Linked DNA regions of Neodiprion lecontei. The protein of the gene in region 2 interacts with the protein of the main gene of each other region in a pairwise test. Links are inferred from orthologs where the notes say so. Each region holds a gene or a part of one and is shown on either strand. Other genes may lie near its edges.

Evidence for each region. The genes of interacting proteins can lie anywhere in the genome.
Region 1: the proteins of peripheral plasma membrane protein CASK (region 2) and ATP synthase subunit s, mitochondrial interact in a two-hybrid assay, tested with the Caenorhabditis elegans proteins (3 studies listed by BioGRID). The link is inferred for Neodiprion lecontei from reciprocal best matches to the Caenorhabditis elegans genes lin-2 and C05C8.1.

What each region holds. Positions count from the first base shown.
Region 1 is NC_060263.1:27,341,190-27,345,835, reverse strand, and holds ATP synthase subunit s, mitochondrial, read right to left. Parts: upstream 2,859-4,646; 5' UTR 2,551-2,858; coding exon 2,536-2,550; intron 2,204-2,535; coding exon 2,115-2,203; intron 1,849-2,114; coding exon 1,640-1,848; intron 1,454-1,639; coding exon 1,291-1,453; intron 1,050-1,290; coding exon 941-1,049; 3' UTR 571-940; downstream 1-570. Other genes in the region: vacuolar protein sorting-associated protein 13C, read right to left, coding at 4,375-4,518.
Region 2 is NC_060262.1:31,566,666-31,571,604, forward strand, and holds the start of peripheral plasma membrane protein CASK, read left to right. Parts: upstream 1-1,896; 5' UTR 1,897-2,365; coding exon 2,366-2,424; intron 2,425-4,939. Other genes in the region: uncharacterized protein LOC107218162, read left to right, coding at 31-202, 434-519, 882-1,077. UniProt on the Caenorhabditis elegans protein: May play a structural role in the induction of the vulva. May be required for the localization of signal transduction molecules (such as let-23 receptor) to either the basal membrane domain or the cell junctions.

The DNA.
Region 1 (4,646 bases), on a different chromosome or scaffold from region 2:
TATTTTCAATTCTGTTAGTCGGCGGATGGATTTTACTTCATCTTTCGCTTTTTCACATATACTTTGTTAAGACGTGATTCAAAGATATTTTATACTCTTATTTTTTAGTTTTCTAGTTCTTCACTTTACTCTAGTTATTCATATTCGCCGGTGTGACTGAATATCTTATACCTGACTTGAAAAATGATATCAACAATTGAAATTTCATATTCCAGTTCCGTTCACCATTTCCAACAATGAGTAGGTGTTTCAAATTTTTTCTTAACTTTACTTTTGTAAATTCGTATCCGCGACTGAGACTGCAAATCTACTTTGCTTGATAAATAAACACAATCTAATAATCAAACTTCATATTTGAGTTCACCAAACTTCTACGACCTTTCTTATTTATTAAGACTTTAGATATTTGAAACTTGTTTGATACCCTTCATTCGATGATTATTAACGTGTGTAGCTCATTGTCAGATAATCCAGCCATGTACGTAAATATTTTGCAGTTAGAAACCTCATTATTTTTCGAAAGCAATGCCAACGATTTAGATATTCTTCTAAAAAAATGCAAAGTACAACAAAAGCTCCAAAATTTTTTATTTCATCCCTAATCCACTATTTTCGTAATTTCTTATTTTTAAAAAGTTGCGTACTTAACAGTAAGGATTGATTTCAATATTTTCTGTACGTAAAGGTATCTTTGTCAGAATTTATTTCATCATTTTTCGAAATAAATCTTTGTGATTTATTATTTTGGTGGTTCTCGAATCGCAAAGTAAATTTTTGTCGGTGTTTTCACTCCAATGTTTGTATCTACATACTTAGCGCAAGGTTTTAGCACCTGAGTTGTTTTGGGGGATAGTAGTTATTACGATGATTTATTTATATCTACGTATTCTACAGTTACATATAAACATTTGTAAAGTAAATTTTGTTACACAGACAAATCTCATGTAAAGACAATGTTACAATCTGGCAAAGACTTGGTAAGCTTTTCTATAACTTCACTTTTATTCTTCACTTGCGGCAAATTTCCAAGCTTCAGTTTCTTCAACTTTCTGAAAACGAAAAAATAAATGAATTCTCAGTATTCCAGATCATATTAGATCCAACTCATGTGATATAAGGGTTAATTCTTTCTTTTCTTGTAACTGACGAGCATTGATAAATACTTGGGGTGAAGAAAATAGGATTCACAATTATGAAGGTACAATAAAAAAAATCATGGGATGTTTTCTACAAAAAATAGGATTACAAGAGATCAATTTCGGCATAATTTGAAGTAAAGTGAATACATACGTGAGTTTATTCAGATCGAATAGAGCCTTCTCGGAAATATTAAGGCAGTTACTTATCTCAAGATGCTTCAAGGTATTTTTGAGTATAGAAAGTAGGGGAATTGCTGGATCCTCGACGTAAACACAGTTGACTAGCTTGACTTCATTTATGTAATTGCATCCGTCTAAATTTCAATAAGATCACATAGTGTCGAATAAAATGATAAATTTCATTACAATTAAACATAAGTGCTCTTACTTCCTGCATAAGTGGAATATGTTCACCATAGTGAAACAGAAAGAAAAATAATTCCCAAGTCATAGCCTTGGAAACCTGTATTGAAGCAATCGTCAAATATTGATTAACTTACTGAAATGTGGAAATCCATGATAGCTAATAGCAGAATTGGTAGCATCAACTGCTTCAATATGTTTCTGAGGTTCTTCCAACGAAGAAAGAGCATTGTAGTCTGAAAGAATACTTCCATCCTCTCTCCATTTGACTGCAGCTCCATTTCTTAATAGCCATTCCGCACAGGCTCGGTCTGGACCAACTTCCTTAACTCGATTTTCATCCACCCTTTAAATAACCAGTTCTTGAGACTCAACTATATGTCATTCTCTCAAGGTAAACATTCAGCACCACGATAATTTGGCTATAAAAGAAAATTCCATTGAATGTATCGATTGATACGTAAAAAAAGTTATTGATGGACGCTTACATTGCTAACATGTCTTCTTTGAAATCTATCAAATATATGCTGTATAATACTTCCATGCATTACCTCATAACATATTCATTTATAAATGATTAAAGACTTGAGTAATAGTTGTTGATGTCTCTACCTGTTGAACATGATTGTAATCCAATAAAAAAACGATCTATGAGATTTCGACTGTGCTGGAATCAGCGATGAACGAAAGTTCTTTATGATCTGAAACATACACATATGGCACCCAGTACAGAAAAAAACAATAAAATGTGTCGTGCCAAATTAAGCCCAACAGTAATTAAGTAGTCTTGTCAAGCTAAAATATAGGTTGAACAATAATACATGCAACATATGAAATAAAAGAAAACTCATTATATATACATATATATATATATATATATATATATATATATATATATATATATATATATATATATATATATATATATATATAATAAAATTATGCGCAAAAAATCGTTTGTCGCAGTCAGCATGATAAAAATCCCGGTACATTGACAGTCTTTTATTTTATCAAAAACCAAAGCGCTTCATACCGCGTGTGTTGCCATTGTGCTCGTACTTTGTTGACAACTCTAAATATCTTATTTGCAAAATATTTACGTATGTCGATTTTTATTTATCGCAATTATATTTTCCGGTGAATGTAGCTTTTTGTATGCGACAGAACGAAATTCAGAGACTGAGACGAACGCAAGATTGACAATTGACTGCAATGCCCGGCGTATTCGAGAAGCGTAACGTTGTCGATAATCGACCCGAATGGGCGGGAAATCTGTTTGAGAATTTCAAATTCAAGTAATTGTGAGATTTATAAATCTAATAATAGTGTTTTTCGATACTAGTGCGCGAAGGTGGCAATGCCCGCACAAGCGTGAAGGCGCCACACTCGCCCTTCAACTCGTCTACGGTTCGTCTTCGACTCACCTCCAACTCGTCTCCGGGCTCGTGCTGCGCCTTCACGCTTGTGCGGGCATTGCCACCTTCGCGCACTAGTATCGAACTCTATTTTTTTCTACACCTGTAATGGAAAGTCCGACATACACGATTATATTTACACGAAACCACGGCAAGATGTCTGTTCAGTGACGATGTCGAGCACGGCAAAGAGTGACAAACCATTCCGTCGTTGGCGCTAGTGCAGCTGTTTACGAAATGCGCAACTATGGATAAAAGTGCGACCGTCTTTTTCGCATACCGCTAGCAATGTGCGAAGGTTTATCTTATACCGCCGGCAATGTGCGAAAGTTTTTCCCGCACAAGTGTATAAAAGACTACTTTCGGTGCTTGTAAATGGTACATAAAAATGGACTCTCCATGCAGGTGTTGCAAAAAATCTGTTTCTTCTTCAATTTTTTATTCTTCAAATATCTATGCCAAGATTATGATAAATTAGATTCAAATCACCATGATTCTAACTGTTCGTAATTAGAATCAAGCGCATCCTTTTTTGTTCATCTAACAAGTGTCAAGATACTTCATCAATGATGGAAATGTATTTACCATGTTTCCAACGGCGTTGACTGAAGTAAATAAGCGCTGACGGTGTCGTTTACAATGTTCTAGAGAAGTTTTACAAATAATTCCTTATCAGGCAGTGACGCTAGTGAGATCATTTTGCATTATTCAGGTCTACAATGAAAACAAAGAGGCAGGGAATACAAGGCAGCTCGGTTCGATCTCGCTTTTATTTTTATTAGAACCAGGACAGGAGTTCGTAATTTACATGATTGGAATATGATTTTTGAGGATAAAATAACACCTAATTTTTGATTTGTTGAAATACGGTATGCAAATAATAATAATAATCCAGGCACATTGACAAATGCATCGAAACATACAAGTGCCGTTAGATGTGCTGTTTAAAGTGGGGAAATTGTTATTAGTAACGAAATGATAGCAATAGTGAGAAAAGATAGTGAGCACATTATGTTACACTATGTAGTCTTGATCATCATAAAATAACTTTTTTGTAAGGACATAATTTTACTGAAGCAGTCACTGTGACCTGCGTATTTCTCATTTACCGTTTTTATTGGGAACGAAAAATTCAATTTTTTTTTCAACACATATATATATATATATATATATATATAAAGTTTATCACAATGCCAGGAAAATATATCATCGCTAAAGAGATTCGAAAATGCAACATTCGCCTCAATCTGAAAATGTCTCTCGTTAATTACTGTGCCAAAGCCAAGATTCATCCGAAGTTAATAATAAATAATTCAGTGTGTTTACAATGAAATCATAATACTTTTAGTTTATATGTACTTTTCTCTCTGCAATGACAATCTTATTTACTTTTTCGTAAGATTGATTAAAATATACATCCATTTATTACAGTTATTATGTATGTAACATATATAAATTTATATTTTACTGTCGAGACATGTGCTGTTTTCCATATTCAGTATCATGACAGTTTCTATCTTGCAGTGCAACCATTCCAGTGTTACTTGATCCTCGCTTTCAATATACCAATCCGTTGCCTGTGAATTTGGTATGGTGTCATTCTGAAATTGGAAAAAATATGTTGTCACTTATTGGTGACAATTTTTTCACGTCCGTGTAGATAAATTTTAAATACTTCCTTGATACAAGAAAAGATAAATAATGGCAAAGTGTATTAAACTCTGAACAA
Region 2 (4,939 bases):
TTTTTTTCAATACAGCTTTTTATATTTCAGAAAGAAATCTGAATCGGAAGAAAACAGCAGCGCCTCATCCAACTCTGATTCCGACACACGTCCACCTTTTCGGCATGCAAGTAGAAGTGTGTTATCTAGACTTGTCCAGTATACTTTTTACTCTGTGATAAATACAGGTGTGGTGATGGACCAAGGTGTGACGGCTGCTGCGGTATTATATTTACCCATTCTTTTCACTTTCAAATTTTTCCAAACTGTTGCTGTGACCACTTTTGACTCATATTTTTCAAAAACTAAGATGTATAAAAGATTCAGGATGAAAATGATAAATTTTTTCTAAGAAGCACAATTGGATTGGTACCGTAATAAAATCGTATACCTAATTTATATTGTCAAGATATTTCTGTCCGAATTGATAAAAGGAATGTTTATGCTTTCACAGCTTTGCAGATCATTTCTCGCTCTCTATCTAAAGCTAGACGAAAGCAACGTTCATTCGAGTCTGGTTGATTCATGGGATAGAGCAGGGTAAGGTTCTGATAATAATTAACCTGTTTGTATGCTAACGAGTGAACAGTTTCAAGTTTTGTAACAACATACAACGACAGAACAATTTGGTATTGCCAGTATGTATGATACATAATACGTATGATTGAAATCCCTCAAATAAAAAAACTATGCTTATAACCTGATATTATTTTTGTTCCCATTTAAATTCCTATTTATCAATACTCAAATATGGTGTTCCTTGCATTCAAATAGTTGAATATCACCTGTTTTTATCACACTAGCAGCGCTTCTATCGATTCACAGTAACTGAAGTCATGCCTGTTCTATCAGATCTCTTAAGCGATATTGAGGGGTTATTATATGTTTTATTTTCATTCTAGACAGAAGATAACAGTGTTGAAAGGGTATAATCACAAACACCTCGTATACCTGGCAAAGAAAGTACGTCATGTAGCTGTTGAATCAAACACTTTATACAGAACAACTGGTCAGGCCAGAGTAATGCTGGTACTAACAGCGTTTGGCCGAGAGGAAGATATGGAAGAAGCATTTGACGATCTGTGTTACTTACATTGACGTCCATGTAAACAACTTGATTTGTCGGCATAGATGTAGCGGGCAACTTCACTGCCACAACGTGACATATCTCTTTGACCGTGTGTGGCTTATACTGTGTGTCAAGTCATTAGAAGCTATGTTACTTATTTAAAGAGCCTCAAAGTCGTTTTGGACAGAAATTCAAGTCTAACAAATATTTTGAATAAATAATAACGAATCAATACAGGGTTGCACATATCACGGTTTATAAATTCGTCTCTGTTTTTGTTTTTCCTAGTTTTTCTTACCGCAACGTAAACGCAACAGCTGAAGTATATCTTGTTCTAACACTAGTCTTTCAAGCATTACGAATTCACAGCAGCGAATCCGTATACGTACCTAACCATTTGTCGCTCAAGTAGAGCTAAGTAACTAATTTTAATATTATCAAGTTGTTGTCAAATATGCGTACTTATACTTATGCATAGACGGTATCACGTACAGAGTCGGGAGCTTTTCTACGCTTGTTTGCATCGTTGATGGGAAAATATTGTCAATTAACACGTATGCGGTGTTTGACATATTCCGCGATGAATTTTGAATTCGTCCGTGATACGAGCAGGGCTCACCGTGGGTCGAGAAGGCAGTGAGACACGCCCCACCACGTCGATTTTGTCGGCAGTCCGCTTGCGCGCGCTCCGCGCGTTGCGTAGACGACGGCAGGCGCCCAGGTTTCGGTGCCGAAACGTCGCGCAGCCGCCCTGCGCCCGCCGTGTTTTATGCAACCAGTTTTGCGTCGGAGCAACGGGTTGGTTGGTGTGGTTGGGTGTCGAGCGCTGCAGCGTTCGGCGGAGAGCAGCGGGGTTGTCAGAAAGGCGTGTGCTATCTGTCACGGTCCTAGTAGCAAGTAGGATTGCTGTCAAAACGTCAGTGAATGGAGGCGCGTGTCCTCCGGCCATTTTCGTAGTTTCAAAACCGCCTGACAAAAGTGTGAATTCCGCATTGTGCTAAAAGGCGGTGTTTGCGTGTGCGCTCTCGCTGCGTTTTGCCCCCTTGTGCTCTCCGTGCCGAGGGTGGAAAAATAGGTTGGTGTACGTGATAAGTGACAGTGAAACGAAGTAACGGACGAACGAACGAACAAACGGCTCGCGCCGAACGACCAGCCTACGATCGCTGCCAACTACCGTAGGACCAGACTCCGCGAGGAGGCGAGGCGAGGCGAGGCGAACGCCGTGGGCCACTGCCCCCTCCTCCCCCCCCCCATTCTGCTACTACCACGCCGTGTTGAACGGAGGCAGCGGGCTTGTCGGCCGGCATAGACGAAGTCATGGCAGAGGATGAGGTCTTGTTCGACGATGTTTACGAGCTCTGTGAGATTATCGGAAAGTGAGTAAACTCGGGACTCTTGATTCTCATCGGAACGAATAGAGAATATTCTACTCCCTCACATTAACCTAGTAACGGTCAACGGTTCGAATGTTTGTCCGCTGACACACTGCGAGCGTTTTCGTGTCCACGATTGTATTTTGTTTTTCAACTTTTCAGGTGTTTACTACACTCTTTACCCGCCGAACGAATTTCGGTCGGTATTCGAATGCGATACCGAAATTTCGAATAGGCACACTTCTATTATCATTGTTTATAATTTTGTCACACTTGAACCTAACCTGATTGACGGGCGTTTCGTCAGCGTGATCTCACATTTCCAGGTATACGTGTCGACGACGCACACACGGGTGTTTACCTACTCTTCGAAATGCTTATTACGGGAGTATGTGTGGATAGCCTGACTTATATCAGGTGTAGTTGGCCATCTTGTGTTTACTTCAGCCCGCCAAATTCAATTATCCGTTATCAAGACTAGTTTATTTTCTCTCTATCACCGTCAACTTCAAAGTGGAAACGATAACCTCAGTCTTCTATTTTCCAACGACATTTTAACGAGCAGTTGGAATTTGCTCGTTTTAAACTTGGTACTATAAATTCCAGGTTCACTGATCGTCTCCTTTGCATGTTACACAGGTGAAATTTGTCCGGAACTATGTAAGCGCGCGTCAGGGTTTCGATCTAGCGTATTATCTTCAACTTCTATTTCATTCTTTGAAAATTAGCATAGGCAGATTATTTCATGCATATAGACATACCTAGTCCACAGTACCTTTATTCACGTACATAGGTATATTATTATACATACACGGACTCATATGCTTGCATGTATGTATCAGGTCGGGAGACGGGAATGTGTTTGATATCGATTATTTTGTCCCGAAATATATCCACCGAACAGGAAAGGGGAAACGAATATGAAAAACTTTTGTATTACCACATATGCCAGTCCTTGGGTTTTACCGTTTCCGAGTCAAAGTTCAACCATAAAGTTTTCTACAGATTAAAGCCCAAGCATAATGTTTTAGACGAGTATCAGGCAACACGTGACGGACGAACAAAATGTTATACACCAACGATTGCCAGGAAAGTAAACTGTGACGGACCTTTTACTCTTCTTACCTGAACGTCACAGCGTTAAAATGCGCCACGAAAAAGTTAACAGTCCTTGACGTGAGTTGACAGTTGAATTTATGGTACGACCGTCGAGTTGAGCTTACTCTGGGTCTTTGTTGGTCTACATTGGACTCTTATTCAAACAATCCTGTGAACAATTCTTAATCTCCCAAACTAGATTGAGCTGTGGCGCTGTGGATGCACTCTCTAAATATGAATTAGTTATAAGTATACCACTGGAGAAAATCATTGTGCATACACTGGAAGTCAATGACACATTATCAGGCTGAAATTGGTGACGTAACAAAACCTTAGGCTAACAAGTCGACATTATCGGGCAATTTAAAAATGACTTTCAAGGAGTTGGCTATTCAAAATTAAAGTATATTTTGTTTGTAATAGTTTACTAAGTCTCAGGCATTCTTAAAAATGCGGATTAGCGATTTTTCTTGAACATGCATCATTACAGTAACGTTAATAACTTCACCCTGTGAAGTATTAGTAAAAACTCACTGAATCGTCAGTGCATATGTACTGATTTTTTCCAGTCGTATACTTATGATTGGGAATCAGCGAATTTTCACTGATTCAAATCCAGAGAGTGGGCTCGGCAGAACTACACTCACGAGCAGGTATAAGGGTTTTATTATCGAAAGAAATTTGTGCACTACGCAGTAGTATCTGTATTACTTCATAAATCTTTTAAGCATTTTATGATTTAATGACAGAGAATATTCGTCGTGTGCGTTGAAACTGTACGACCGTTGCATGTGAGTTACATGAATACTTGAATGGTTCGAGTCAATTTGCTGTTCGTCAATTGAAACTAACCTTTAGCTGGTCATACCTAACATACCTTGCGGTCATTTGTGACGTAAAGGTTTGTAATCTTTAGCTGGCACATTTATCTGGTCTAACATTGCTGGTACCTTGGGTCGACTGTAAAATTTAAAATTATTCTTGGGATCTTTTTTATCTTGTAAAAGACACTTAGGTGAATACTCAAAAAAAATAAAGTTCACATATTAAGTTGCTTCATTACAGCAATCAATTTTCGATCGGAGTCTTCAATGACCCCAAGGTGCCAGCAATGTTATACCAGATAAAGGTGTCAGCTAAAGATTGAGTGAACACACGTTAGATATGCAGATCCAGTTAGACGCAATCGACGAACGTTTCTTTATACTTGGTCTATTTTTTTTTGTTCTCCTTAGAACGGTTCGTTCCATCGATCGGTAATGCGGTTCAGAGTCTAATGATAAGTCAACCAATTTGATCTTCAACCTTCGGTATAACTGGGTACCTACAATTATATATTTGATCATATTAATACATTGCTCGGCTTACTTTATTCCTCCCACTCAGGGCTGTCCTACACTTTTGCGGTTTAGTTGTTCAA